Diceros bicornis minor: one gene and its partners. The protein of the gene in region 1 purifies or fractionates together with the protein of each later gene. This does not show direct contact. Links are inferred from orthologs where the notes say so. Each region holds a gene or a part of one and is shown on either strand. Other genes may lie near its edges. The genes, in order: ERBB2, TFRC, ATP1A1 and ACSL3.

Region 1 (7,555 bases):
AGGTCAAGGGCCAGGAGGGGGATCTCTTTCCAGATCATTCCAGCACCCAGGGGCAGGCACAACTACCTGGGCCCAACACCAGCCCCCAACCCCTGCCCCACACTGGTCCTTCATGCTTCTACTCCAGCTGTCTCCCTCACCCACCGCCTTGCAGGTCCCACTGGCCTCTGCCCCGCTCCTGCCCTCAGCCCCCTGCAATGCCAGGAGGGTCCAAGAGGAAGGCAGACATGGGCTGAACAGGGAGGGGGAGGACTCTGAAGCCTAGAGGGGACCTCAGGGGGGCCCCACTCACCCCACTTTCTATGGCCCAGATAAGGGAGCTCATTCACCTGAGTAAGAGTGGCACCTGTCCCCCAGTCCAGCCACCTGGCTGCCCCTGAGGCTTCGCTCAACCCATTCCTGTATGGATGGACATGGAACGAGACTTTGACCAACCCTTAACACCTCCTCATTAGAGTACAAAAATGCCCTGGACATTATTGGGTCGCTGGGAAGCCCTGGGTGAGTCACCTCATTTCTTTGAACTTCAGTTTTCTCACCTGTGTACCTCCTTCACAGGATTGTTGCAGACAGAAAATGAAACCGTAATGGAGAAGCACCTGCACACAGGAAGCACGCTGTATATATTTTAAAAGTTAAGGCTTGGGAAGTTCATACAGCAGGAGTATGAGTAATTCTCTTTTTGCATTTCATCCTATCTTTTCAATCATTTTTTCCCTGAATATTAAAATGAGGTTACTTTCCTTGAGTATAGTAAAAAGAAGGAAGGAGGCTGTTGGGAGAATCATATGGGAATTAAACTATGAGCTTTGCAAGATAAAGAAGATGTGTTTGTTGCACTTTACAAAACCTTGACCTCTAAAAAAGGATCCCAGGGAAATGCTGACCCTCTGGGCCTTTCTGTCTCCCCTTCCCCCACATTCCTGCCGCAGCCATTAGCCCTGGGATATAATGGGGGTGCTAGAGGCAGCTGGGTGGTGCGCTGCCATTTTAACCATTCCCTGCACAACACACAACCTAGCAGTGCAGGCTGAGGGGTGAGGAAGACCTGAGGAGGCCCGGGTCATCGGTGGCAGAACCGACCCCTCAGGTCCCAGCAACTCGGCTACTCTCCACCTGCTCAATTCGAAGGCCCAGGTGAGGAGGGCAGCAGCTCAGCCTGAAAGCCCAGCCTGGCCTCACCCTTCTCCGCAGAAGGTCAGGGGTGAAGATACCCGCCTGGAAAACAGGGAGGGGAAGGATGGGCTCCCGAGAAAGAGGAGCCTCCTTCCTTGGAAAGAAGGTGTGGGGCCACCTCCTGCTGTTTACAGCAGCTCTGGCCCGGCACCTTGAGGGAGTTCCTTGAGAGGGCAGAGTTCAGCCGAGTCCCCAAGTCAGCATGGAGACTGCTGTTTGGCAACACAAAGCCCAAACACACAAACACACAGACCACACAACTCAAGAACACCCTAGCATAGAAGCCCCTCAGATAACACAGCAACGCTCTGACAGAAGGACCCTCGGGCAACACACAGACAGGATGACACCCACCCCTTCTCCAGACTCCTCGACCTATGGAGACCACCCACTACTTCCAGAACACTCTCATTTTGTCTTCCCCAGAACCCCATGATGCAGGGAGCAGCGTCCCCCATTGTTCAAGGTAGATTAATACAGTGATTTCGAATGTGTGGTTGGAGGTCCCACTGCCTGGGGTCCAATCTGGGACCCACCACTTACTCTCTGCTACTTATTAACCTCTTTGAGTCCAGGTTTTCACCTGGAAAATGGGAATACTAGTAGGACTTCTCTTACAGGGTTGTTCTATTCAAGGAGGGAACACATGCAGAACACCTGCACAGAGCCTGGCACAGAGTATATTCCCAGCACACGTTACCTCTAATCATTATTGCATACAGATGGACAGATGGGCAGGACACACACTGCCCCCACCCTGCCCCCCCATAACTCTTCCCCACACACAGCGTGAAGAAAAAGGCAGGACAACCCAGCCGTCCGCATACCCCTGTCCCGTCCTATTTCTTAGCCTCCCTCCCGCCTCCAACTGCCCAGAAATCCCTCCCTTAGAACTCTCCCATTCTGAGCCCCAGACCAGGAAACCCACCACCACCCCTCCGGGGCCCATGCTCTCCAAAAGTCATAAAGCACACAGTCTCCAAACTGGCCCTAAAGAAAACTTGTTCAAAACAAACGCCTCCCCCTCCCCCCATCCCCGACTCCAGCATGAGGCAACTCTGCAGTCCGACTGGCCTCTCTCCTCCCCGGCTCCGGCTGGACAGGTTGCTTTCCCCACCTCCCCCCTCCACACCCCGATCCTGTCCGAAGCTGGAGTAACTAAACCCTATCTGCCGAAGGGGGGGGCAGGGGGAGGGGCAGGCAGAAGAGACCCCCGAGAAATCCAGCTCAGTCCAGTCTGGAGGCGGAGGCTGCCAACTGGAAAGGCTTTGAGAAAGCCTGAGGGGGCTCAGAAGGGGGAACACGAACGCGCACACACACCATGCAATACACCCTTTGAGGGAAAACTTTCTGAACAATTTCAGAGAACTTTTTTGACAAGTTCCCGGAGCCGTCGCGGAGTCTGGAAAGCGCCAGTCCCTTGAATGGGACATCTAGAGCCGCTCTGGTGTAATTACCCCCCGTCCCACCTTCTTTTGCCCCCTCCCCGCCGGGGGCCGGCTGCTCTGAGCGCCTGGACTGCCCGAAACTTCGGGTCGGGGAGCCCCCGCCGGCCCGAGGATTTCCACGGGGGTCCCAGGCTGCAGGGTCCCGTCACTGCTCAATGCCCACCCCACACCAGACCCACCTTGGGTGCCCGCGGCTCCAGGGGGCAGGAGGGCGAGGAGGAGCCCCCAGCGGCACCAGGCCGCCAGCTCCATGGTGCTCACTGCGGCTCCGGCCCCATGGCTCCGGCTGGACCAGGCTGGGAGGGCGCCGGGCGCGTCGAGGGGAGGGGGCTGGGCGCTCGGCGCCGGAAAGGGCACCCTGCGAAGGGGCGGACGGCTGCCTCGGGGGGCTCTTGTCGGCTCTCTGGGCACGATGGAGGGGAATCTCAGCTCCACAACTTCATGCCTGTACTTCCTCAAGGCAGCCCTCCTCCTCCACCTCCTCCTCCTCCTGTGATTGGGAGCAAGCGCGCTCACAACTCGCCCCCCCCACCCCCTCCAACCACATTCCAGCAAGTCCCTGGGAGTGGCAACTCCCAGCTTCACTTTCTCCCTCTCTCGGCGCAGGCCGGGGTGCGTCCCTCCCAGCGCCCGGACGCTCGGGCTGCCTGCAGCAGTTCTCACCCGTTCCCAAGGAGAACCCCCAAAAGGAGAGGAGGGTGCTCGTGACCCCTCCCTCAGGAGTCTGGAGCAAATGCTTTAGGCTGACATCCTTAACTCTCTTTTAAGTCGCAGGTTTTATCGTAAACATTCCTGGCGAGTTTGCATCCTACTCCATCGCGTGCCTTGTTTTCATATCAAATAATGGTTTTCCCACCGCATCCTTAAGTAAAATTGCTAGTCAATAGTGGTGTATTTCATTGGTGGCTTCCGGGACTCCCTGGCGTAGCTTTTCGAATTTCTTAGGTATCTTTTTCAGTCTGAAACGCGTGGTTTTAAGGGGGTCTACAAGTTTGGGGGAGAGAGAGTCAAATTGGAGAGACTTCCATCTCAATCCTTCCAAGAATATCCCTTGTGTTTCTTTACCGGGGCACTCAGCACCCCATACATCCAGGGTTTCTTCTGTGTCTCTTGCCTTTTATTAGCCTGCTCAATTCCACCTCCCCGCCCTGCATTCCACCGGGAGCCCCGGACCATGTTCTTAAGGCCCCGTGGTGGGTGGGGGGGGGATTGGGGGTGGGCGATGGAAGGAAGGCATGTTTTTGTTGGAAATTCCAACAAAATATTGCATGGGACATACTTATACTAACAAATTATTCTCTGTTTATCTGAAATTCAAATTTAACTGGGCATCCTTATTTTTATTTGCTAAATCTGGCAACTCTAGTTGGAATGCCTCAGCCAAGGGCACGCCTGTGTTGGTCAAGAGGGGATCAGAGGCACCTACTGGGGACTGGAGAGTGAAGGACGCTAGCGTTGCTTAAGCTGCTTCCATATTCCTATCATGGTTATAGGCGGGCACTTTCACAGTAGGGACGTGAGAACAGGGCACTCTGGGATCAGAATGACCTGAGTTCAAATCTCAACTCCACCCCTTATTGGCTGTGTGACCTTGGGCAAGTGACTGAGCCTCTCTGGGTCTCAGTCTGCTCACCTGTAAAATAGCCATCTGGCATACTGTGCTAGGGATTATAGGAAATAATGCTCCTGAAGCATTCAGCACAGTACTTGGCACATAGTGATTGCTTAATACATGGTCTCAGATTTTCTTATACTTGGACAGATCCAGGTTTTGTGGGGCCTGAAGCTTATGAAATTTGGGGGACTCTCTTTAACAAGAGGAATACAAAGTTATGAATACAAAAGCAGACACATGCATGCAAATGAGGGGCCTGAAGCTTACCCTTTCTTAACACCCTGGTAAGTCCTCCTCCAGCTCTAACCAGTGATGTTCAAACTGCAGGTCAGGTTCTATTAGAAGGTCAGTCATGAAACCAATTTAGGTGATCAAGTCAAGTCTTTTTTTGTGTGTGTGTGAGGAAGATCAGCCCTGAGCTAACATCCATGCTAATCCTCCTCTTTTTGCTGAGGAAGACCGGCTCTGAGCTAACATCTATTGCCAATCCTCCTCCTTTTTTTTCCCCAAAGCCCCAGTAGATAGTTGTATGTCATAGTTGCACATCGTTGTAGTTGCTGTATGTGGGACACAGCCTCAGCATGGCCAGACAAGCGGTGCTTCGGTGCGCGCCCAGGATCTGAACCCGGGCCGCCAGTAGCGGAGCGCGCGCACTTAACCGCTAAGCCACGGGGCTGGCCCAGGTCTTTTTTTTTTCAAGATATAGAATGGAATAGAAAAGATCCGCATCACATCCTCACGTGTAGTAAGGGTGAGTGTGGGTAAGGGCATGTGTGTCCGGTGTGATGAGGTACAATGGATTTATTCCTTGGATCATGGTCATGAACGTTAAAGAAATACTGCTGTGTCTGGGGACACAGCAGCCCTTCAGGATGGACATCAATACCCCTGTTTTCTCTAAGACTCAAGTTAGAGTTAGAGTGAGGGTCAAGGGAATGGAGGCTCAAGAGAGTTAACCAATTTTCCCAGGACCTTCCATCTCAGGGCTAATGAGGGAAAAGTTGAACAGCCAGCAGAACCAGCCCCTCACCCTCACCCATCACACAGGCCAGAACCCAGTCAAGGTGCCTCTCAGCCCTGCGGGGAAAGAAGACTGCTGACCTGGCTCCAAGAGTCATTTGCAGTCACATAGTAGAGTGCTTGCACCCAGGCACGTGCACATGCAGTCTTCAAGAGACCGTCAGGGTGTTAGAGATGTCACTTCTCCCCTAGGCCCCACCTTCCCCTGCTCTTGTGTTAGAAGAGTTCATCCAGCCAGGGAAGTGGTGCCATCCTTTACGGGACTCTCACTCTGCACCACTCTCTCCGTCCTGGAGAGACACTCTTCATCTTACTGAGGCCTCAGGGTGTCAGAGAAGAGGGGTGTTATCTTCCCCATTTTGCAGAAGAGGAACCCCGAGATTCCGAGGTAACGGGAACTGAGCCATGAAGCTTTGGCTTCATCCATTATGCTCCAGAGTCCCAAATCAAGGGTATCATGAACCCACCCTCTCCCTGGGCCCCTGTAGGGGAACCAGAGGGGGGTCCTCCAAGAAATCAAGGTAACTGCTGGTTCCTAGCTCCACAAAAATCCCTCCTCCCCCTCCAACCCCCGCCCCCGCCAAGACAAGCCCACCCTCTCCACATCCCGGATCACAGGAGGAAACCCAGACTGGAGACAATGCTCAGTCCTAGTGGGCTGCAGAGAGAGGGTGGAGCCAGCGGGAGTGGGGATGAGGGGGGAGCGGGGGTCAGAACTCACGCCCCAGGAGGAGGCTTGAGAGGGGCCAAGTCTCCCAAAGAGAATGAGCCCATTCAGAGCCAGGAAGGAAGGGGAAAAAACCTTGTCTGGTGTTTGACAAGAGGAGAGGAAGGGGGGCAGGGGTGGGCGCTGCTGATTTGCTTCTCCCCTCAACTGCCCCTCCAGCAGGGCCTGGCAGGAGAGCCAAGGAAAGAGGATGTCTGAGGGACAAAAGCTGAGGGGGGGGGACCTTGGGGTGGGGGGGGATGGCCGGGTGGCTGGAAGAGCCTGAGAGTTTGCCAGAAGGGTCCAGTGAGGGGCCTGGGGAGAGGGAGACAGCTACACAGGAGAGGGCTGACTGCAGGACAGAGGAGAGTGAACCGAGGGGCTGAGGGCAGAGGCATGAGACCTGCCGGAGGAGGTCCTTGTGCAACAGGTACTGGGCCTGAGGGCAGTGGAGGTGACCACCGGCACTCAAGAGTCAGGAAGGGGCTCTGGCTTAGGGAGGTGACCTCTAATGGTCAACAGGCTGAGGTCTGGAACCAGCGGCCTGTGAAATGCCAGTCAATCATTGACCAGCCACTAAGACTGGGGGGCACAGAAGACTCTGTGTGTGTGTGTGTGTGTGTGTGTGTGTGTGTGTGTCTGTCTGTGTGTCTGTGTGTGTGTGTCTGTGTGTGTTGGCACCAGAGTCTCCTCCCCTCTGCCTACCTCACCAGCCAGCCTGGGGTCAGAGGACTGAAAACAAACAGAAAAAGGGAGGAGACGGTTCACAGTCCGAGGTCTAAGCCGCAAACTGGAGCCTTCCCCACAGGCCTCGAGTCTAGGGCATGGGTTGCTGGGGAAGTGTCTATATGAATTAGTTACTTAGAAAGAGTCCCCCCAAGAGTAGGCACAAGGCCTCCCTGGGGCCACAAGAGAGTAATTTGGAAGCTTCTGATAAGAAAATCTGTCCTTGGGCCAGCCCCATGGCTTAGCGGTTAAGTGCACGCGCTCCGCTGCTGGCGGCCCAGGTTCGGATCCCGGGCACGCACTGACGCACCGCTTCTCCGGCCATGCTGAGGCCGCGTCCCACATACAGCAACTAGAAGGCTGTGCAACTACGACATACAACTATCTACTGGTGCTTTGGGGGAAAATAAATAAAAATTTAAAAAAAAAAAGAAAATCTGTCCTTCATAAAGGTGGCGTTTTAAGAACACTTGCAACTTAACCACTGGGAGGCCAACTCCCAGGGCCTAGGGTCAGCAAAGGAGCAGAGCCCAAACTGACAAACTGGGCATGCCAATCACCTCCCTCAGCCCCTCTCACCCCATCTCAGGACTGCAGGCCCGGGTTGGCCCGGTGACGTAGCAGTTAAGAGTGTGCGCTCCGCTTCGGTGGCCCAGGGTTCGCAGATTCGGATCCCTGGCGTGCACTGACGCACTGCTTGTCAAGCCATGCTGTGGTGGCATCCCACATAAAGCAGAGGAAAATGGGCACGGATGTTAGCCCAGGGCCAATCTTCCTCAGCAAAAAGAGGAGGATGGGCATTGGATGTTAGCTCAGGGCTGATCTTCCTCACAAAAAAACAAAAGGAACGCAGGCCCAAGGCCT
Region 2 (7,018 bases), on another chromosome or scaffold:
CAATACATACAGCTAAGCAAGGGGAATCAGGTACCAAAATACACTTTCACCTATGTATACCATACCCAAAGCTTCTGCTCCATATTACCTAAAATAAGAATAAGCCACTTGTTTGTTACTATTGACAAGTCCACTTCAATTTAGAAAACAGGCCACAGTTTCAAGTCCTTGGAGCTCACATAAAAAGAAGTTCCTCTACCTGCTTCTGAGGTTCGGTTCTAGAGACCTTCACTACCTAATAATTCACTGCCCTCTATTTTCTTCAAAATAAGACAGACTATAACCCCTGCCTTTACCCAGTAACATTCTTCCTCTCTTCTTGAAGTCCTACTCATCTCTTCCAGGTTCAGCTCAAGGGCCACCTCCAAGAACTTCTCTGACTAATTTCCCTATAATACTTGACATGGAATTATGTAGTAATTAACAAAGAGTAAAGATATTTTATTTCTTAACGGTATTGGGGCACGCTTAATGTATATGAGGTTCATTTTTCATATCATTTGGAAATGATACAAAAGAGAATATAATGAAAACCCTGGACCTGGAATCTTTTCCCATCCCTGCCACTGTTCTGGTTTATCCTGAAATACTCTCTCAAACAACTGGTTACAGATACCCCTTTTGCAAACTATTTCCCCAGGCAACTATGGATTTGCAGGTGAAAATGAAAAGATTACGTAAACTTACAAAACTTCTGCAGGGCCCTCAGAACTCATACTTGTGTATACACAGAATGACTTCTAAAGAGACAATCAATGTCTTCCCTAGCTTTAAGAGTCTAACTTTATGGGCCTAAAATGAAAAGGTAGTGGAGGAAATCAAGGAAAACAAGCGGAATCTTCATTTCCATTCAGCTTTCTGAAAGAAGACTGCCCAACTTGAAGGTCAGGAGCCCTTGAAGTCACGGCAGCCTTATTCATGCCTATTCATGTAGTGCTCATCTGGGGGAGCAGACAGAAGGCACCCCCACAGAAGAGTTCCAAAAGGCCTCAGAGGATCATTTTTAACTAGCTTTCCTTGTTGTCTGATTCAAATCTAGCTGAGAACCATTATAGGTAAGTACATTATCAGAGGCAAATAACTGCCTCGCCTTAGGACAGTTACCCAAGTTGTTCATCCTTATTCAACAGTCTTCAGCACAGGCTAGAAGCCCACCATTACTTGACAAGAACACTCAAGCAAAGAAAAGTTAAAGGGTGCTACGCTATATACAGACTTTGGAAAATATTTCATATCAACAACAAAAATTTTTTAACTCTAGATTTTCTTGTGAGGCACACTGAGTTTATTATAATCCAAAACTGAGGGGAAAAGCAGCAGGACCAACAAGTACTTTAGATAGTCTAAACTTAATTTTCACAGTAGAAAACTGGAAATCACCTTACACGTCTTTGTCAATAAAGTCAAAACTCCCCAGCTCAGAGACAAAGAATCAGCATCTAGTATTGCAAATTCCTATCTAAGCCTAGAATAAAGGTATCAGATATCCGAATACTTCTGTAACAGGACAACTATTTCCTACTTCAATCCTGCTCCTACTCCCCCTAAAAAAAAAAAAAAAAGAGGGGCTGGCCTGGTGGCGCAAGCGGTTGGGTGCGCGCTCTCCGCTGCGGCGGCCCGGGGTTCGCTGGTTCGGATCCCGGGCGCGCACCGACGCACTGCTTGGCAGGCCATGCTGTGGCGGCGTCCCATATAAAGTGGAGGAAGATGGGCACAGATGTTAGCCCACGGCCGTCTTCCTCAGCAAAAAAAGAGGAGGATTGGCGGATGTTAGCACAGGGCTGATCTCCTCACAAAAAAAAAAAAAAAAAAAAAAAATTAAAAAAAAAAAAAAAAAAAAAAAAAGACAAAAACAGGAAAAGCAGCAGCAACCGAGTTCCCTAGTATAACCAAGATTACTACAAGCAGTGAACAAAGTGAAAATGTTAACCGAAAAGAGTCAAGTCACAAAAACATTTTCTTACCCATTCTCCCCACTACCACCTTAAGAGAGCTGACCACCAGAAACAGTGACACCATGGGCCTCTAAGGCGTTTGGCAAGAGAGCACAGCCCTTTGACCATATCGCTAATTTTCAATAGCTTTTAGCCTCTAAACCACAGCTTTCACAAAGCATCAGTCTTATTCATATGGTCTCCCATTTTACAGTGAGGAGAGCCTAGCAGTCCGAATATTCTTAATGTGAACACCGGCAGCGTTCAGTCCGCTTCTGACTTGGGAAAACTGAGAACCCACACACAAGGCCAACGGGCGGCATGAAAGATCAGGTCGTACCCGCGTTCAAATGTACAGCTTACAGAATCCCCATCTAAATGCCAGGACACACTCGTAACCGAATCGAGGACAGCTGGTCCCTGTCAGCAGTGAAGAGACCTGGGCGCGAGCAGGACTCGAGGAAGCGAAGGGCTAGGAGCTCAAGGTGACCCATGCACCTGAGAGCTGTAGGGACGCTCCCCGCAGCAGCCACGTGCTCTCGCGGGCCCGCCAATGCGGCGGCAGCGCGGCTCGCCCGGCGCGGACGCCTCGCTCCCGAGCCCGCGGCCTAAGGCTGTCCCAGCAGGACCTGCATTTTTAATAAGGGCCAGCTGGCAAGAACAAGGGATGGAGGGTGGCCTGAGGAGCCGGAAGCAGAATGGCGGGGCACAGAGCGACAGCCGCGTGGCCCTCATCTCGCCCTCAGAATCCTACGAGAGAAACCATTCGCCGCCCGCCACCGAGCCCAGGAGGGCGCAGACAGGCAGAGAAGGAAGGGCAGCCGCTGTCCGCGCCGCGGCTCCACCCCCTGCACCTACAGCCCGCTCCTCGCGCCGCCGCGGCCCCTTCCCCGCCGGCAGGCGGGCCCCGCTCCATCCCGGCCACCCCACCCGGAGGCGCCCCGTGGGCTGCTGGACAGCTCCCAAGGGGGCCGCAGTGGAGACCGCTCGGACCAGCCCTGCAGGCGGAACGGAGGACAGGAGGGTCGGCGGGGTTCTAACAGCGGCGCGTCACTCACAGGCGACTCTCCCGTCCACCCGTACCCAAGCCGCCACCAACCGACGCAGACGCCTTCGCAAGCACACTACCTCGACCGGCCGAGCTCGTTGCCAGGTGGAGCCTCTCCCGACCCCTCCCACTTGCGTCACTTCCGCTACGTGCACCAATGAAGAGGCCTGGGGGAGGGTTGCGCATGCACTCAAAAGGAGACCGCCCCCTAGAGCGCGGGGCAGGATGGGGCGAGGGAGGGAAAAGGCGCCAAAGGCTGTAAAGGGCTGGGCTGCTGCTGTGCGACCTGGAGCCTCCTGTCTAACCTTGACTGATCTCCAGACTCTGCAGTGCAAGGTCAAAGGTGTTAGCGTTTACTCCTAGATGGTGAACACTTACACTGAAGTAATTCCTTAAAGTGTATGTCCTTGATGGAATATTAGGTAGCCGCTAAAGCCATGTTGTGGATATATGTTTTGCAGCCTCAGAAGTATTTAGGATAGGGGCCCGCCCTGTGGCTTAGCGGTTAAGTGCGCGCGCTCCGCTGCTGGCGCTGGCGGCTCGGTTCCGATCCCGGGCGCCCACGGACGCACCGCTTCTCCGGCCATGCTGGGGCCGCATCCCACATACAGCAACTAGAAGGATGTGCAGCTATGACATACAACTATCTACTGGGGCTTTGGGGGAAAAATAAATAAATAAACTTTAAAAAAAAATTAAAAAAAAGAAGTATTTAGGATAGGGGAGTGGCCTAAGTTCGCGCGCTTGGCTTAGGTGGCCCGAGATTCGCAGGTTCGGATCCTGGGTGTGGACACACGCACCGCTTGCCAAGCCATGCTGTGGCGGTGTCCCATATATAAAGTAGAGGAAGATCAGCACGGATGTTAGCGCAGGGCCAATCTTCCTCAGCAAAAAAGAGGAGGATTGGCAACAGATGTTAGCTCAGGGCTGATCTTCCTCACACAAAAAAAGAAATACTTAGGATAAGCAAATAGTTAAAAGAATGAAAAGCAAAATACAGATTTGTATGTAGGATGTGTAAAAGCTGCACAGGAACCGAGATCGGCACAGTGCTTTGCCTAGTGTTTAATGCATGAGGGAATGGAAGGGAAAATAGAAACAAGTGATTTATTAGGGTGATAGAATTGTAGCTGAACTTTCATGTTCTTTGCCATTAGTGTTATTGTAGGATTGTGCAATGCATAACAAATAAAATTGGATTCTTGTCACTTTTTAAACGCTTTCCAAACATTCGCACCCTCTCCCTCCCTCCAGTCGGTAACCTATAGTCCTGAGAAGGAGATTAGACAAATTTGCACACAGCTACAAACGACCGGGGCCTTAAAAGGGTTACAGATAAAGCGCTTTCGGGGTCAGAGTCCCGAGGGACGCGGAACGGTCCTTTAGAATGCAAATCAGTTTTCAGGTCTCGGGCTCCTGCTCCTTCCTCCATTCCGTGCTAAAATAGGGGAAGTACACGGGGTCCGCCCACCACTTTTCTCTATCTCTGTTCCCTAAAATCTCTCCCCAAGGAGATATATTTAAAAATCTTAAAAGCAGGAGCATTGCTGCACGTTAGTGGATCGGCGCAGGAAAAAACTAAAGCCAGGAATGGAATGGATACGGATTAGCTATGGAGGGGCCACCTTGAAATTCAGACGATAGGCGGGCTGAGTCCCCTCTCCCTTTCCTTGACTGGTGGGATCTTAAAAAAAAAAAAAAAAAAAAAATCAGTGGTAGTTTCCAGGTGAAACTGAAAACCACGTGGAGAAAATGGGCTTAGGAGAGGGAGGTCAGGACAGAACCTATGGAAATCCAAATAAAAAAATTTACTGTCACTCAAATGAAACAACAAAGAGGACACTACTTTAAAGAGTGTGTCAGTTATATTTTTATATTTTTGTTTTCATGCTTTTATTAGTAATAACGGACACTATGCAATTAAATTCCCTTGTCTATCCCTTTCTTCCTAGTAGCTTTGCAAGATCTCCCTCCTCTGCAGTTTCAAGTAGACGAAAATAAATTTGTCTTGCTTTGTTGCAGAATCTATACATACTGAGCAATTTTGCTTTGTCTGGTATTCCATACAAATGTTCAAAGATTTTGTTTTTCTCCTCTAATTTTCTTTATTGTTGTTGTTGCCATTCTTACATATAATTGATGAGAAATTTTCACATATTGATGTGTATGGGGTTACTATTCGGGTTCAAAACTGATTCAGCTAGGGCTGCCCTGTGGCGTGGCGGTTAAGTTCTCACGTTCCGCTGCTGGCAGCCCGGGTTCGGATCCCGGGTGCCCACCGATGGATCGCTTGTCAGGCCATGCTGTGGCGGGGTCCCATATAGAAAGTGGAGGAAGGTGGGCGCGGATGTTAGCCCAGGGCCACTCTTCCTCAGCAAAAAAAAAGAGGAGGATTGGCGTGGATGTTAGCTCCGGGCTGATCTTCCTCACCAAAAAAAAAAAAACTGATTCAGCTAGAACTAAATAAGCCTGGTTTATGGCCTGTCCAACATACATTTTACATCTGCTTTAACCGTTAAAGTACAGAATTCACTGTCTTAAAATAAGAATGCATACTTCCCCTCCTATGCCCTATTGGTTAATGCCCTATTGGTAACTCCCTTATTAGTCCCTTTTATGACATCAGGTTCATGTTGACCTGCTAATTTGCAACTAAATACCTCTTTGAAACTTTGATGAAAATGTATCCTGGGTGTGTTTCATGTATGTTCTTTGTTCTAAAAGTGTATAAGACTGTACTGAAAACCATGCTTCTGAAAGTTTTCTTCCTTTCTGGAAAAGGCCTTCCTGGATTATAATCCTTACCCTGGCTGAAGTAGAACTCACCTTATCTCTCTTATCTATAGAATGGTTATTGGTTATTTTGCATTGAAATTTCTTAATGGTTATTGGTAATTTTTCGTCGACACCATTAGCTCCCACTTCTGGAGACCCAGTAACTTGGATGCTTGCAATGAAATAAGTTTTTGGTACCTTTATTTAAACTATAACTGAAATGAGTGTTATTCAATTTCCAGCCTTCCACAGACTGTCACAGGTACAAGAGAGAACTTTTGCTGCTTGCCCCCTAAGATCAAAATCAAAACATACACCTCTTACCTTGGTTACAGGAATCTTGGAGGAAAAAAAATGGGGTTGTAAACCCACACCTGCAAGATGATGCAAGTTGGGGGTGGGAAGTTTTTAGACAAAGGCATTTAGTACTTTGTCCCTTACATTTAAAAACATTATTCTGTTTATATTATGTATATTTTATCACAATTTTAAAAAAGTACATTAATCTGTCACCTCAGTAATAGAGGATCCAGAACCATTTGCTCTTTCTGGGGTCCTATCTGTGGCCCAAATGCTAAGTGGGGTTTCTTAGGCCAGCATTTCTCAAACATTTTTTTGTGTGTCTGTGTGAGGAAGATCAGCCCTGAGCTAACATCCATTGCCAGCCCTCCTCTTTTTGCTGAGGAAGACCGGCCCTGGGCTAACATCTATGCCCATCTTCCTCCACTTTATGTGGGACGCCACCACAGCATGGCCTGACAAGCAGTGCGTCAGTGCGCGGTGCGCGCCCGGGATCCGACCCGGAGAACATCGTGCCGCCGCAGCAGAGCGCACGCACTTAACCGCTTGCGCCACCGGGCCGGCCCCTCTCAAACATTTTGACTGTGCTCCATGGTAAAATGTCCATTTTACTTCACAATTCAGTATACACATGTGTATGTGTGTGTGTATATGTGTATATATATTTATGTGTATTCACACAAAACCGAATCAAAAGTTTCATGAAATAATACCCTTGCTGTGTGCAAAGCAGTCTGGAATTTTCTATTTATTTTTTTAGATGCTGATTTCAACCCATTAAACTGATTTCTCAATGGGCTATGACTGTTTGAAAACCGCAGTCCTAGGCCATCTCCTTTCTCAGAGCACACGTCTTCTTAGTGAATAGGACAAATGACTTGATCAAAGTTAAATATCAACTACCAAGGTTTCTCCCTGTTACTTTGCCCACTGTTTCAACTTGTTACCACCCTACACTTCA
Region 3 (7,659 bases), on another chromosome or scaffold:
TGCCATTTAATTTTGCTTGCAATGCCCCAGTGGTTGTTGATTTGTAGAAAACAAATGGTGAGTTTTTACCTGCCAGGATCTTGCAGCATTTAATAGCATTTGGAATTGGAGTGAGGGGAGTAGAAGAAGTGTATAAAGGGAGAGTGCTAGAAGAGAAGACCAAATCCTGGCTCTTAATTTCAGGATCCAGTGTAAAACACTTGGGGAACAACTAAAGAATCCTCTATAATTGTTTTATTTACAAAGACTGCTATTAATAAGAGCAAATTATTTAAGTGGCAGTTGTGTTAAAGGGATGCTGAGGAAAAGACTGAGGATTTGACCCTGTGTAGTTTATAATAGCCCCCAGGACAGGCATCAAGTAAATGTGACTTTTCTAAATTTCCGGAGGCAAGACCCAAGGTCTTCAAAAATCATTAACAGAAGAAAGTATGTTTAGAAGAGTACTAAAGAGTCTTAAAAGTAAATTAAGAAGTAGAAAATGGAATGTGGGAGGAAAAGTTACAAAGGGTTCAGAATTATTTAGCTGACAGATTTTTTTTGGGGGGGTGGGAGGGGTGAGGAAGATTGGCCCTGAACTAACATCTGTGCCCATCTTCCTCTATTTTGTATGTGGGACGCCGCCACAGCATGGCTTGATGAGCAGCGTGTAGGTCCGTGCCTGGGATCTGAACCTGCAAACCCTGGACCGCTGAAGTGGAGTGTGTGAACATAAACACTATGCCACCAGGCCAGGCCGGGTCCTAGCTGACAGATTTTGATGGTTAGTGGTGTGCCTAGAACTGTGCTTTTAAAGTGGGAGATAATATGTCTGTTGCTGGACAGGAAAAAATAGATTTGCAATGGTGGGATAGACATTGGGCTAGGAGGAACTTTGGGATGGTGAGACGAGTTGGCTTTAATGCAGTAAGAATGGGGCAGCTAAGTGACTTTCCGGGGTACCTAAGAAATAGTAAAGATAAAGATGCATGCTTAAGATTGTTTCCATAGTAGCTCTAGGGCAAGCTGGAGCAAAGACTTCTGTCCTTCTAGATCCTTAGCTCATTGATCTCCCAAATTTTTACTTCTTATGGAAAATGCTAACTTGGTGTAGGCTCCAATTCATATTCTAAAGCCCTTAATTGCAATGGCGTGTTTATTCAATTCAGCAAGTACTTACTCAAAGTGCTAGGATTCTTGGCTCAAAATACTGACTTGCATCATATTTTTCATACATCTGCTGACTCTATTCACAATGAATGGCCCAACCCTCCATGCTTGTGTCAAATCCTCCTCGAAGCCATCCACACTTGGCAGCCGTGGGGTCTGTAAATGCTGAGTCTCTGGGTCAATCAGTTTAATTGTGCCCCAAGCTAGGAGCTTAAAAAGAAAGCTGATGGGATAAGAGGCAGATAGATCGGAGAGGCAGAACTTGCCCCATCCTGTCTTCTGGAAGTTCTGTTTATCCCCTGCACTGTGCTGGATGTTCGAAAAGGTGCACAAAAGTTCTACCACTCTCCTAGAACTATCTGGTGCCAATCACTCTCTGGGCCTGTTTCTTCATTGTAAAATGAGCAGTGTTTGATCTCTCAAGTTCCATTCAGAAGCCTCTCCCAAGAGGAGGAAACAAGTCTTTCCCAAGAAAAGGGCTTTTCCCACTTTGGTCTCCTATGTTCCAAGGGAATGCTCTTGCATCTGAGATTTCTGCACCCCAGGCCTGGTGATGCCGTCCCTTTGTCTTAATTCCACAGGCCTGTCCAGGGCTCCATATTACAACCAGGCAGGGATTCTTTCCATCACTCTTTCCCACAAAAGTTTGCAACTCCTGCTTCTTTACCATATTTTTTCTCTTCACCTCTTACAATTAGCCTTCAAGTCATGGCAATAACCTTTACCCCTGAAAACACCCCTGAAGACTGCCCAGAAGTGCAGAGACCATAGCACTTGGGCGCAGTGCTAAGAGAAAGCATCAACTTTAGAGGATCAATACCAAGGCCCTTTCTGATATTCTGAAATGTTTTTGTTGAATTCTGTTTTTTTCAATAGGATTGAAACATAAAATGGCATTATCAAATACCTTAAAAATGGAATGGGATTTGCCTCTGGAGGTGGGATCAGGTGGGTCAGAATAGGGGTGGGGGAAGTGTTTGTAGATCCATATAGGGCATTTCTATAAAATAATGGTTCTCTGCCTGACGATGACACACACAATAGACTGATGAAGAGTGGAAATAGAAAGGCTCTAGCTGAGGTCTTCTTGGTTATAAAAGAGGAGAGCCATGTGGAAACCCTCTGTATTTGTGAGGACAGCAATGTTAATAGCAATTGCTATTCTCCCACCAAAACTTTCTTGGTGCCATGCTCAGAGACCAAACTTCAGAGCTAGGAAGATGGTTCCTGTTTTGTAATTTTGAGGCCAGACTCCCCCAGTCACTGGTTGAGTCCCTGAGTCTCCAGTTTCCCACTCGGTAAAATGCAGCTGAAGCCCTTTACCTTCCCGACTTGTGAGAATCCAAGAGGATTTTATATGTAAAAGTGCTAAGTGGAGGCAAAGGCAAATACAGATTTTAGTTAATATTTCTTATACTTCTGTGTCTCTTCCTTACTCTGGAACATAGCTAGAACTTTCAGGTCCTCCTGGAAGGACCTTCAGCAATCGTCAGCTGCCAGGTAAACAGCTCTAGAGACAAAGGGAAATGCCTTGATCTATCTGGTTATATTTTTGAATGAAAAAATGATAATTTTACTTATGAAGGGAAAAAAAGGGGATCACCTGGCAGGAGAAATCGACATTGTTCAGACTTTTGCTTTCTACATTTTGTTGCTGTTCTTGCTGCACTTTTCCTGTTCAGACCAGGGCCCAAGGGATGATTAATCTTAAACAAGCTAAGGGACCTTTGGCAAGCGAAAGCCTCCTACAGGTTAGCAGTAACAGGGGCTGTACCAGCATATAAAAAAAGCATTTTCTAGACCATTGGGGATAGAGCCCTGATAACACTCTACAAATGCCTTCTGTTGAATTAGCAGTGGTGGGCACTCTGCTCTGGAGTTGGGGGCTCTTTCTCCAGCAGTCACAAATTCGAATCCAGTTTCCAATTCCTCTGCTCTTCATGGCCTGGACTGATTTAATCAAGCCTGAAGATGGCTGGAGGAGGCACCAGCCTCTAACAATGGGTTCTTGGACAAGAGGAAGACACACATGTAAGAAACAGTTTCTTCTAAAAAGGAATAAAAATCACCCTAATGTTCTAACTGACAACACAGTTGCTAGTTTTCCCTCCTTCCTTTTCTTTCCTGCCTTCTTTCCTTCCTTTTTTCCTTCCTTCCCCATTTCTTTCAAGCTTCACATCTTTATTTGTTCATGTTAAATTAATAGAGTTGATAGGGCCAGCTTTAAGTTGCTTAGGAAGTTATTTTCCTTATTTCTTGTAGGAATTCCCAGAGACTTGGAGCGACTTTCTCAGAGACGTGGAGCGAATCTTATGTTTTCCCAAAGTATACTTGACTTCCTGAAAGCAAGCAATAATAGTAATACTTAGCTTTCTAAATGTTGGAGACCTTCAGCCACTTGCAGCCTCTGCTAAGAAACATAAACTACAATGGGAGGCAAGACCCACAGCGCAGCCGGGCCAGGGCTCTCTGGGGGATTCCTGGCCTTGTCATCACACTCCAGGCCCAGGTCCCTCAGAGCACCCAATTCTGCGCTGAAAGAGGCGCTGCTGTGCGAGTGGGAGGCATGGAGAAGCACCAGACAGGTCCTCAAACCTCTCTCCTTCGAGTCTGTCCCTTTTGTTCAAGATACGCATTCCTTTACATTTCAAGTGTTCCTCCCCTAAAAAGCGAATCCCCAAACTGGACAAGCAGGTTTCATTCTCACTGTAGCTTCAATGAATTCATTGGACACCCTTTGGATTGTCATTTGGGGTCTTGAAGGAAAGCAGGGGGGCGCTTGGGACCTCGGGCAAGGCTCAGACCCATTCCTCCTGGGGCCGAGCGGGAAGTGGGTAACGCGGATCCCAGACTGGAGGAGGCATTCGGGAGGGCACCAAGAGGCTGGGGAGGCCATCTGCAGGTGGGCACGGGGCCTGGACTCTGCAGGAAGGCGGAGTCCCTCAGGCGGGCGCCGGCTGCAGTCAAGCCCGAAGCCCCCCACCCCCAACCCCGGCGCGTCCTTTAGTCGCAGAGGAGCTCCCTGATGCACTAGAAAGGCCCCTCAGAGCGAGGTTTCTGTTCTGGGTCCGCGGAGATTCGGGGAGCCCCGTTCCGAAAACGTATCCGCACCCACTGCGGACCTTCCGTGCCCTACAAAGCAGGCCGGTCACGCCGAGCGGCGGGAGGAGGGGCGCGGCAGCTCCACGGCCGCCGAGGCCCCGCTGCCCAGCCAGTCGGTGCGCCCCGCAGTGGCGTGGCCGGGGCCTCCCGGGCCGTGGGCACTCGCGCCCCGGGCCCGGCGCCCTCCTGCCGGGAGCCCAGACCAGCGGCAGCCAGCCCGGGGATGGGGTTGGGGCGGGGGCGGAGCCAGGCCGGCGGCCGGTGTCAGGTTGCTCCGGCAACGGTGACGTGCCGCGGCGTGGGCGGGGCCAGCACGCAGGTTGCATATTTTAGGAAGCGAGGCGGAGGCGCGGGCTCGAGCTGCGGCGGGGTCTGGGGCGCAGAGCAGCGGCGGGAGGAGGCGGACACGTGGCAGTGGCAGTGGTAGCAACCCCGGCGGCGGCGGCGGCGGCAGTAGCAGCGGCGGCATCGGCCCGAGCCGCCGGCCGTCCTCCCTCCTTCCCGCCCCACAGCAGCCCTCGCTCCCTCCTCTCGGCTCCCCCGGCCGGGCTCGCTCGGCCGGGAGCTCTCTCCTCTTTTCTCTCTCATTCTCAAGCGACAGGACCCGGCGCCGGGCACAGACCACCGCCACCATGGGGAAGGGGGTGAGTGTCCGGCGAGCCGGGGAGGGGGCGCAGGGAGTCCTGGAGGGGAGGAGGAGAAAGAGGAGGAAGTCAGGAGGGCGACTGCAGCCAGCGGGAGGCGGGGAAGGAGGAAGCGGCGCGGCGCGGAATGGGTTGGCAGAGCGGCGAGGCTTAAAAGACGACGCACTTTGGAAATGGAGGGAGCGCAGTAATGGGGGACGGGCGGGCGGGGGCAGGGAGCGCCGAGGGGACGGAGGACGGCAGCGCGGGGCGGTGCGCAGCCCCGGGAGAGGGGCTGCGGGCCCCCGGGTCGCAGCGCGCCGCGGCCCGGGGCTCCTGGAGGCGGCGCTCGGGAGCCGCAGGGCCGGGAGGAGGGCGAACGGCCGCCGGCGGCCGCATCCCGAGCCCGGCTCCCCTCCCTCCGCCCGCTCTCACCTCCCATCTCTCGCCTTCCTTTTTCCCTCCGCCTTCCGTGCCCGGACGAAAGGCGTGCTCCTCCCCTTCCCCTGGGGCGCTCAGCCCGGCCCCCTCCCGGGCCGCCGTTCCCGCCGCGGCCCGGGCTTCCGACGCGGGGGCGGCCTTGGGGTCCGAGGCTCCTTCTCCTGCAGGCGCGGGGGCTTAGCCAGTTCCCCCGTAGAGGCGGCCGCCCTCCCTCCAAGGCAAAAATTAGTTTCCCCTTACTGCGGAGCCGGTTGGGCGGGCTGGTGCCAGAAAGGGTGTGTCTTCACTGCCCTAAGATGGCCTTTAAGGTATACTTTTGAGAGCTTTGATGGAACGCTGGCCATAAACACAGGATGCGCCCGGGCGACTGGAGCGGTCATTCTGGCGGTGGGGAGGGGTGTGTAAATTTTTTGGAAGGATGAGCCTGGAAGGAAGACAGGCTAGCCCCCCAGGGCCTCTGGGTACAATAAACCCGAAAAAGGACTGGAGGTGGCGGGCAGTACGCGGTGGTAAGAGTGCCAGCTCGCGGAAGACGGTTCCCGAAGGAACGAGGGGTCTCCGGGACAGGAGAGTGCAGGAGCGCTGTGGGAATACCAGAACAACATCTCGTTCCTACAGTTCTGTAACTCGGAGCTGTGATAACCCATAGCCAAGGCAGAAGACTGAGTCCCGGACCCCACCGGGGCCAACGTCTAGTTGAGAAAAGTTTATACAAAATAATCCCCAAAGTATCAATTCGTGGGGTAAAATGACGGGGCCATGAGAATACCGGTAAGAGAGAATCCACTCCATTATTATCACCAACTCTTGCACAGTGCCTGGTGCTTAGTAGGCCTTTGAAGGCTCTTAGGGCTCCTCAAGGTGGAGTGAGTGATGGGGAAGAGGGAGGGTTCATTCTTTGGGGACTCCAAATGGATTTTGAAGGAGGTACTTGAAAGGCTTGGACCTGGTGGGGAGAGAGGAAAAAGTGGGAATGTATGACTGGTATCTTTTAAAAGCACAAAATGTGGAGGGAGGGCTGGCCCAGGTCAAGTAGCTGAAGGCAAAGAGCTGAGTGCCAGCCTCTGTACTCCCCAGGATGGAAACTGGGTTAGTGGCCTGTGCTTGTACCACTGTGTCAAACACTAGATCATTCTCCTAAACTAGCTCTTTAAAGCTCATTCCTTTATTTCTCCCCCTTCAGAAAAAAAAAAGTTTGTTTCCAGAGCTGGACCTTACTGATTTGGGGGGATGTAGAGATCACAGGTATGTACCCAAGGCCTAGGAAGGTGAAGTGACTCGCTGAAGGTCAAATGGTTAGTTAATGACACACCAGACGTCCCTAACCAGCCTGTGATTTCCCCAGCCTGAGCACTCACGCACTCCTTGACGTTGCCTTATGTGGAGAACTCTCAAGTTATTCTTCAGATGAAACTGGGGTATTTGTGAGGTTGAATTAATGGACCAGAGAGATGTTTGAGTAAGTTATGTGTATGTGTCTGTTATGTCTCTTTCGTAACCACATACATGCATAGTAGTGGTAAAGATAGCAACACACCTGGGTTGTGGAGGTTCAACCAAGATGTCTAATGGATCCTAATAAAATGTTCAGTGGCTAGCAAACACAAAATTGAATGACAGCTGGGTAACACGGGATGCTATGCTGCTTATCTGCTGGGTTGTAGTCAGTATTTTGGGTACTATGATAAATTGAACGTTAAGGGGTATGTGTGTATAAGTGGTGGTGATTCTCCCAGGATAAAGTTACCCCTTTTGTCCCCAGTGACTTACTGTGATAGTCCAAATGTTCAGAAGGATATTTTATGCTGAGATGTTGGTATTTTTCCACATGGGGATTAAAATGTGGGTGGAGTGGTGACTAAGGCCCTGCTGATAATTGGTTAACGAGGAAGCCTGTGCTGGCAGCTCATTTTTAAGGTCATTGTTAATTTCTTCCCCTCCTCTTCCCACTATCATTGGGGGCCTAGGTTTTAATGATATTTCAGGTGATTTTATTTCTCCTTAAAAATCTAGTTTCTAAGCTTTGGGTAAGAAATTGAAAGAACAGCTCCTGCTGAATCATTCCTGGATGAAATAGGATTTTGTCCTTTTTTTCATAGTGGGTGTTTTTGCCAATGACTTGGCTTAAATCCACAGCCAGGCCTACCACCCACAACTATTTCCCTCACCAAAGGTACACACGAAAACTTTTCCTTTTCTTAAGTTTACAAAAGATGGGGGGCGGGGGGAGGACGGGGGCATGTCACCAGGTCCTTCCCTTTAGTTCTCCATTGTTTGAATATTAACTTAGTTACTTAGAAAATAAATCATAGTTTATGGGTAGTGACTTAAAGAGGAGCAGGGA
Region 4 (7,623 bases), on another chromosome or scaffold:
TCCTCTCGTGGGAGCAGTCCATACTGCGGACTGCCGCAGGGACACCTGCCTCTGGCTGTCCTCTCGCGTCCCTGGCCCCTTCTCCGCTCTCCTCGGCAAGCTGCTCAGGTTCCTCTCCCCAGCGCCATCCCAGGTCTCCTCGGTTCTTATTCTAGTCTCTCCACAGGCAATCTCACCCACGTCCACGGTTTCAGCCGTCACCTCGACACTGATGACCCCAAAATGCTCAAGTGTAATCACTCGACATCTCCTCCTCCTGCCCCAAATACCATGAATCACCATGTCTGGCAATTTTACCTCTAAATCTCCATTTTCTCAATATTTCTGCTCATGATATAAGGCTCTTACGAGGATCAAATGGGCTAACAGATAACAGTGCTTTGAAAAAGCAGGGAGGGGCGGGGAGGGAGGAGTTCCATCGGAGTACTAGTACTCATTAAATTGAAATCTCCTTGAAAGCAGAGACTTTACCAAGTTCTTTTTATTTATTCCACATGGCACACCTAGTGCAGTGTTTCGCATGCAGATGGCACACAGTAAATATAATACAATGAATTATTCGTATTGGCTTAGTACACGTTCAACTGAAATATTCACATATTTAACAGCTTATATTTCCCAAACCAGCTCATCACTTTTGTCTCCTAAGGGGTGAGAATTTTAAATAAAATCACTCTGTTAAATGTAAACTACACTCGATACTTTTGATAATTACGATGCTGCTTCTCGAAAATTCGAAAAACCTGTCCCCTCTTTTGGCCTCGCTTTCCTGAATACATTCTAATCCCATTCCCAAGTCCAGATCCCATATACAGATTCTTGCTTCTCAAATGTTCATTTTGAGAGAGGAAAATTTAAGTATTACAGGAATAATTAAGTACCCTGAAGGCAGGCAGAACGACTGCTTGAAAATGATCCCTATCTTGTTGTCGTATCTTGTAATGTGCCCGGGTGTGACATTCAAGGTAGGAACAGACATTGTGAAATGAAAACAACATTGTTGCTCAAAAGTTTTCACACTCTTGCGTTATGCACATTTAATCACAACTCAGAACGCAAGATTGTCATCTAGCAGAAGCTCACCCTATCAATTCAAAACACTCCCTAGACTAGATTTCCATCTAAATCACAGTCCTCATTATAATCTTCACTTACACGCTACTTTCCCTTCACTGCACATATCATAACTTGTAATCACATATGTATTTGGATGACGATTTGCTTCGTGTCTGTTTCCTCCGTGAGGGCAAGGATCACGTCAATTCTGTTTACTGCTCTATTCCCAGCTCCTGACGTGGTACCTGACATATAACAGGAATTAAAGGGCTCTAGTTGAGCAATTAACTGAACGAGCAATGAACTAGTCATTTCAGCAGTACCAGACAGCAGGGAAGCCCTGAGAAAGATCTCGAGGCTTTAAGATCTGACCCCCCTAAACCAGACAGAGCATGATCTTCCTCTCATAATTTCTCCATCCTTCGTTTCTTCCACACTTCTCTCCTTCCAGGACATTTTAGACTCACGGAATATTTCAACTTTAAACCACCCAGTCCAAATGTCTTACAAATCCAGTAACAAAGACACTAGATCACTTGTAACCTTGACCCTTACATCCAATGGCCCTCTCTGCCCTACACCCAACCACAAGACCATCCAACAGAACCAAACCTTTTTACAGCATAAGAGAGAAACCAGGAAAAGTCTAAAGAGACAATGCCAGAGTGACTAGAAAGGCCTTACTCATCCCTAAGGGTAAGAACTGCTTGGGAAGATGCCAGAAAACAGAAGAATAAAGTCTGTGCAACAGACTCCCACGTCACAACACCGCCTCCCTGTAATAACCTTCTAATACACTTTCAGGAGCAACTCAGCAGCCCCTTCAACTCGGGGAACTAATCTGGAGAAACAACAAAGGTGGTGAGGATCATGACCATCAAACCACAGTGCTCCTGGCCACCCAAACAAGAATCCACCGTGGCAACTCTCCAGCCAGCCAGCAAGGAGAGGCGAGGCAGCATCATAAGTGGTTAGAAAGACGAGCTCTGGATTTTCACACAGGCCGGCGTCTGAATCCCAGCTTCTCCTGAGTTGCTGTGATCTGGGGAAAATGAACGTGTCCACATTCCTCTAGCGGTCAAACGGGAATAATCACCACCCTGGACGGCTGTTAACAGTATAAAGAAACCACGCATAAAGCTCTTAGTACAGTGCACGGCATGTAATCAAGACTCAATAAATGTCAGCTATTTGTCATTTTATTCAGCTTTAATCACTTGCACAAGGCCTATCCCCTCTCTAGCTTCCATATAATTTTAAAGACTGTTCCATCCTTTCTATTTTTGAGGGGCGATATATACAATAGCTTAGAGTATCTGTATACCAATGCTACAACCGGACTGGGCAAACCAGTCAACGGCTCCGTGCCTCGGTTTCTCAGCTGTGAAATGGGTCTGATAAGGACCCCACAGGATGGCTGGTAGTAAGCCCTCCCGCGGTGTCACCCATTCCATCACTGGTGTGTAATTAACACGCACTGAGGGGAAAGTCAGTCTTCAACTCTCGCCCCCGCAACAGTCTTAATCCCAGCCCTGCCCCCACAGCTCGTGAGGCCACGACACACACCAAGGTCGCCCCGTCGCACACACCCGACTGCTGCTCACACCCCGCGGCCACAAACACCCCCGCCCGCCCCTGCTGCACGGTTTTCCGAAATCGCAGGGCTCAGCTCCCCCCCAGGGACCGCGTCAGGGCCGATCTGCCGAGGCGGCCGCCCCCCCGGCCGCGCGCCCCCAAAGCGCCGGGAGGGACCCCGCGCATCCCTCCTCGCGCGGACGGCGCGGCCGCTCGGGCTGCGGCTCCCCGCCCACGTGGGCCCCGCGGCCGAGGCCCCGCGTCACCGGGCCCGGGCGCCGCTGCCCACGCTGCGGGCCCGCCCGGCGCGCACACCCCCGGGGCCCCGGCCCGTGCGGAGGCCGCCCCCGCCGCACTCACCGCGACGCCGGGCCCCCGCGCTCCCGCCTCGGGCCCACGCGGGCCTGCAGCGCCCCGCGCCGCCGCCGCGGCCGCACGGCCAGAGGGCGACGTCCGCTGCCCCGCCGCCGCCGCCTCGCCCACCCGGCCACGGCGACCACCCGGCGCCGCAGCCAGCGTCTGTTGAGCCGAGCCGCCCGGGACGCGCAGCCCGGCCGGCGCTCGTTGCCTACGCAGAGAGGCCGCCGCCCATTGGCCCGCGGGCGGTGGCGCGTGCGGGGCCGGGCCTATCGAATTCCGGCCGGGAGCGCGGCGCAGGCGGCGGGGGCGGGGCGGGGTTACTACGGGTCATTCGCCGGAGCCGCCGCGGTCGGGCCCAGCCGCAGCCGGCGGGGGCGGGGCGGGGCCGGGGGGCGGGGCGCCGGCTCTGCGGCCGCGACGGGGCTCCAGCGGGGTCTGCGGGACGGCCGCCCCCCCCCAAAATCTGCAAACGCAGTCATTGCTCTCATGCATAAATCTCAACACAGATCCTGAGATAATATGCATATTATTTTCATTCTGCACTGGATTCGGTATCCTGTTCTTGCACACGTTTCTGTCACGTTTGGTAAAATGAGATGATTTTTGGAAACGCCTGGTGCGAGAGGGGGCTCAAAAATCCAAAGCATGGTCCTTTATTATTTCTCTTGTTTTAGCTTCACCTAACCCAGCAAATAACCCATCTCGCCTAAATGCACTCACTATTTATACCAGTTTGGTATTTGTTTTCGAAGGATCAAGTTTACTCCAAGTTATTGGTTTTGGACGTTCTTCTTATGAATCTAAAGTGTTTTTATATTTTAAAGAGTTGGCCATTATACCCCATTTTAGACACTACAGAAGGGAGAAAAGTCATCCAGTGCGGGTAGACTACCCCTCTACAAGAAAAGAAACAAACGAAAAAAACACAAACACAATGACTAAAACAGCAGCTACAGTGCACTATAAGAAAGATGGCTTTCATTACCGCAGTAATAGTAGGATTGGGCTCTATTTTTTTTTTTTAAGCCAACATATTATTTAGTCGGTCTGTGAACGAAGTTATAACATTAAGTCAGATTTGATACCACAAGAAATAAAACTGATTTGGAGGGTTTTGATTTTTTTTTTTTTTCCGGTAGTGAGGGAGCTAGGAATAGCTACTTGAAATGAAAATCTCCATGCGATGCAAAACTTTTAATTCGGTGAAAGGTGACATTTATGAGCCAGCCTCAGGCTAAGCAGGGGCTCACTTCCCAAGAGAATCTGGAAATCAGCGGAGCCGCCTGAACTTGTGGAGTGATGATCCACAGAGCAAAGAAAGCTCACACCCCTTGGGCCCCAGGCCAATTCAGCTACCTAAAGGAATGGATACCTGACTCAGGGAACCTACCTTTCCACTAGAAAATATGTTTGGTTGCTCGCTTATCTGCCGAAATGCTATCAGAGGATACACCTTGAAGATGAAAGGAATGCAGAATGTCTTATCTGAAAAGCCCGCCACCATTCTGCATGCAGAGGGAAGTATATTTTAGAACTGTTAGTTCCAGAACCATGAAAAGCCTCCAGAAAAAATAAGTAATTCCCAAGGGAGGAAAACCGGTGTTGAACCTTTTTTTCCCATCAATAAGCATAAAGCAGACTAGTAGAATTCCAGCAACATCTTAATATCTTTCTATGTTGTAAAATATATATGGGTGTATACAGACATACATGTATATACGACATTTTCAAAAGAAAATATTCTTTGGAATTAAAATTCTAAATTCTCATCTTGTTTGCTGAGGCTAAACAGAAATGTAATATTTCTAATCTCTAGATGTTTTCTTACATAAAATAATACATCCACAGTTGCTTTTCTTTTAGAAAGGGTTTCAGTATATTTTTATTTTTGTTTAGAGCTTTTGAGAGTTTTGGAATTTGGCTGCATTTTCCTTCTTTTTAGAGAAATTCAATTCAGAAACTATAATGGCCAACTAAATAAAAACATCCAGCCGTTCCTTTTATAGTTTTGTTGTTTCTCCAAATTACAGGGGCATTGAGAGGAAATGTCTTTGTAATTCTCATGAATACCTAAGGATCTGTTTCATGTGAAGGGTCGCAGAAACAGTCTGTGACTGTATAGCAAACTACTACTAGCATTTTCCATCATCATTATAATGTAAAACCAGGACCAGCTGATGTTTAAAAGTTTAACAGAACCTGTTTTGTTCTTTCATTTCTGGTGGATTGAGCAGCGGGGAGAGCTGAGGTGGCACATTAATGTTATATGTTTGAGTTACGATGGCTCTGGCTTCAAGGCACAGAACGTTCAAAAAAAACAGCTTAAATTATGATATTTATTTTCCTCACATAAAGATAGCTCAAGAGGCAGGGCAAGTCCAAGGTGGATCCAGGGACTCTGCCACGTCGTTGAAGACCCAAGCTTTTACCATCTTTCACTCTGCTAGTCTCAGCCCATTAGTTTTATCCTTAAGCCATCATAGTCACAGATGGCAGCCGCAGTTTCCAAGTGTCACGTGAAGGCACAACAGCCTCTGGCCAAGGAATCGGGGCATGCTTCCTAAACGCCATGTCTCGTGTGTGTGTGTGTGAGGAAGACCAGCCCTGAGCTAACATCTGCTGCCAGTCTTCCTCTTTTTTTTTGCCGAGGAAGACTGGCCCTGGGGCTCACATCTGTGCCCATTTGCCTCTGCTTTATATGGGACGCCGCCACAGCATGGCTTGGCAAGCGGTGCGTTGGCGCACACCTGGGATCCGAACCTGCGAACCCCAGGCCACTGAAACGGAACACACGCACGTAAGCGCTATGCCCGTGGGCCAGCCACCCTAAACACCGTTTCTGATTAAGGAGGAAACTCTTTCTCAGAGAGCTCACCACAGATTGCTCCTTAAGCCCCATTGGCCAGAATTGAGTCACATGTTCACATCCTAGCTGCAAGGGAGGCTGGGAAAGCGTCAGCATTTTCGGCCTCTCTAACGGAAGATAGCTGCCATCAACACAGGAGGGGCCGTGGGAGGGAACGAATGTGGGAAGGCCCAATCAGCAGTGTCTGCCATGCATATCACCTAAAAGTACCCATCTCTGACTAAAAGGGGCTTAAACAATAAAACCATCTGTTATCTCACTTAAAATGTCCAGAGGAAGGCAATTCCAGGGTTGCTTCAAAGGCTCACTGGTGTCATCAAGGACCCGGCTCCTTCCGTCTCTTCACTCTGCCATTCTCAGTGTTCATGTTCTCCCCCCTCATGGTTACAAGATGGCTGCAATTGCTCCAAGCATTATCTTTACGCAATACACGCAAAGCCAGAAGAGAAGAGCAGCTTCTCCTACATGTTGGCATGTGTTTACTGGGGAGCTACGTCTTACCAAGAAAACAGCATCATCCTCAAGCTGGGTCTTTAAAAGTTCTATCAGGCAGCATTTATCTGTGATGAAGTCCGTGGCAGGACCCATGGGTCCTGTAGTCACGTGTTCATTGTTGCTCCTCTGCTGTAAAATGAGGCCCTTGGTGGCAGACCAATATTATGCAAGATCCCATGACGGCAAATCAGACACTCTGTGAGCCCTCGGATTGTGGTGCTGGCCAGGCTCAATGGGCAGGGATGGCAAACTCTTCCCCGGGTTATTTATCGGCCCCAGTGAGGATGAATCACTGCCCTACACAGTGGTAGAGAGAAAGCCCTGAGCTGCAGACTCACAGGTGCCATCAGCCTATGCTGGGCACGTGAATGCCAAGGGTCTATGTGCAGGGCGCCCACAGCATCCGCTACAAGGGGGCAGTCAACAGTGTCTGCCATTTGTCCTTTTGTTAAACAAAACCGGAAGGTATTTCAAGGAATTTCCCAGTTACCGAATTGCAAAGAAAGAATCAGGAGAATTCTAAAAGCCACTGTGTGTCCAAATCCTGTGGTCCTGTCTTTCTAGGAAATCCTTCTTCTCAACACAGGCATCAGCTTCAGGAGGGTTGTACATGGTTGACCATGGGGTGAGTCATCACATGGGACACCTCATATCCACTCTCAACTTTATAAAGATCTCCACCGACTGAGATTCTCAGTCTCAGTGTCTTCAGTGAGACTGGATTGCATAAACACTCTATCAACACGTTCTTTCTACAATTTAAGGTGATTTAATTTTGTTCCACTTTAGTGATTAAGAACCTACCAGCCTCCCTTTAATAGCACTTCACCTTCATAAAATACTTGATGAAAGTCCTCTCTTACTTTTTCTTTTCCAGGCTAGACAATCTTTTTTTAAAAAAACTCTTTTCCAAATGACCTATTTTCTATCCCTTTGATCATTTTTTTTTTCTTGAGGAAGATTGGCCCTGAGCTAACATCTGTTGCCAATCCTCCTCTTTTTTGCGGAGGAAGATTGGCCCTGGGCTAACATCTGTACCCATCTTCCTCTACTTTATAGGGGACGCCGCCACAGCATGGCTTGATGAGCAGGGCGTATGTCCGCGCCTGGGATCCGAACCTGCAAACCCCAGGCCGCCAAAGCAGAGCACACGCTCTTAACCACTATGCCACACGGTTGGCCCTCCCTTTGATCATTTTTATTGTTCTCCCTTGTTCATCACTTGCAGTATAAAACAGAATACCTAAGCTTTAATGAGAGTCTGATAATTG

The links.
Region 2: the proteins of ERBB2 (region 1) and TFRC purify together in Homo sapiens (affinity purification with mass spectrometry; 3 studies listed by BioGRID and IntAct, with this or other methods). This does not show direct contact. The link is inferred for Diceros bicornis minor from reciprocal best matches to the Homo sapiens genes ERBB2 and TFRC.
Region 3: the proteins of ERBB2 (region 1) and ATP1A1 purify together in Homo sapiens (affinity purification with mass spectrometry; 4 studies listed by BioGRID and IntAct, with this or other methods). This does not show direct contact. The link is inferred for Diceros bicornis minor from reciprocal best matches to the Homo sapiens genes ERBB2 and ATP1A1.
Region 4: the proteins of ERBB2 (region 1) and ACSL3 purify together in Homo sapiens (affinity purification with mass spectrometry; 3 studies listed by BioGRID and IntAct, with this or other methods). This does not show direct contact. The link is inferred for Diceros bicornis minor from reciprocal best matches to the Homo sapiens genes ERBB2 and ACSL3.

What each region holds. Positions count from the first base shown.
Region 1 is NC_080757.1:39,359,171-39,366,725, reverse strand, and holds the start of ERBB2 (receptor tyrosine-protein kinase erbB-2), read right to left. Parts: upstream 3,091-7,555; 5' UTR 2,877-3,090; coding exon 2,804-2,876; intron 1-2,803. UniProt on the Homo sapiens protein: Protein tyrosine kinase that is part of several cell surface receptor complexes, but that apparently needs a coreceptor for ligand binding. Essential component of a neuregulin-receptor complex, although neuregulins do not interact with it alone.
Region 2 is NC_080754.1:27,158,714-27,165,731, forward strand, and holds the start of TFRC (transferrin receptor protein 1), read right to left. Parts: upstream 3,049-7,018; 5' UTR 2,993-3,048; intron 1-2,992. UniProt on the Homo sapiens protein: Cellular uptake of iron occurs via receptor-mediated endocytosis of ligand-occupied transferrin receptor into specialized endosomes. Endosomal acidification leads to iron release.
Region 3 is NC_080743.1:48,793,450-48,801,108, forward strand, and holds the start of ATP1A1 (sodium/potassium-transporting ATPase subunit alpha-1), read left to right. Parts: upstream 1-4,632; 5' UTR 4,633-4,883; coding exon 4,884-4,895; intron 4,896-7,659. UniProt on the Homo sapiens protein: This is the catalytic component of the active enzyme, which catalyzes the hydrolysis of ATP coupled with the exchange of sodium and potassium ions across the plasma membrane.
Region 4 is NC_080776.1:12,674,553-12,682,175, reverse strand, and holds the start of ACSL3 (fatty acid CoA ligase Acsl3), read right to left. Parts: upstream 3,096-7,623; 5' UTR 2,992-3,095; intron 1-2,991. UniProt on the Homo sapiens protein: Acyl-CoA synthetases (ACSL) activates long-chain fatty acids for both synthesis of cellular lipids, and degradation via beta-oxidation.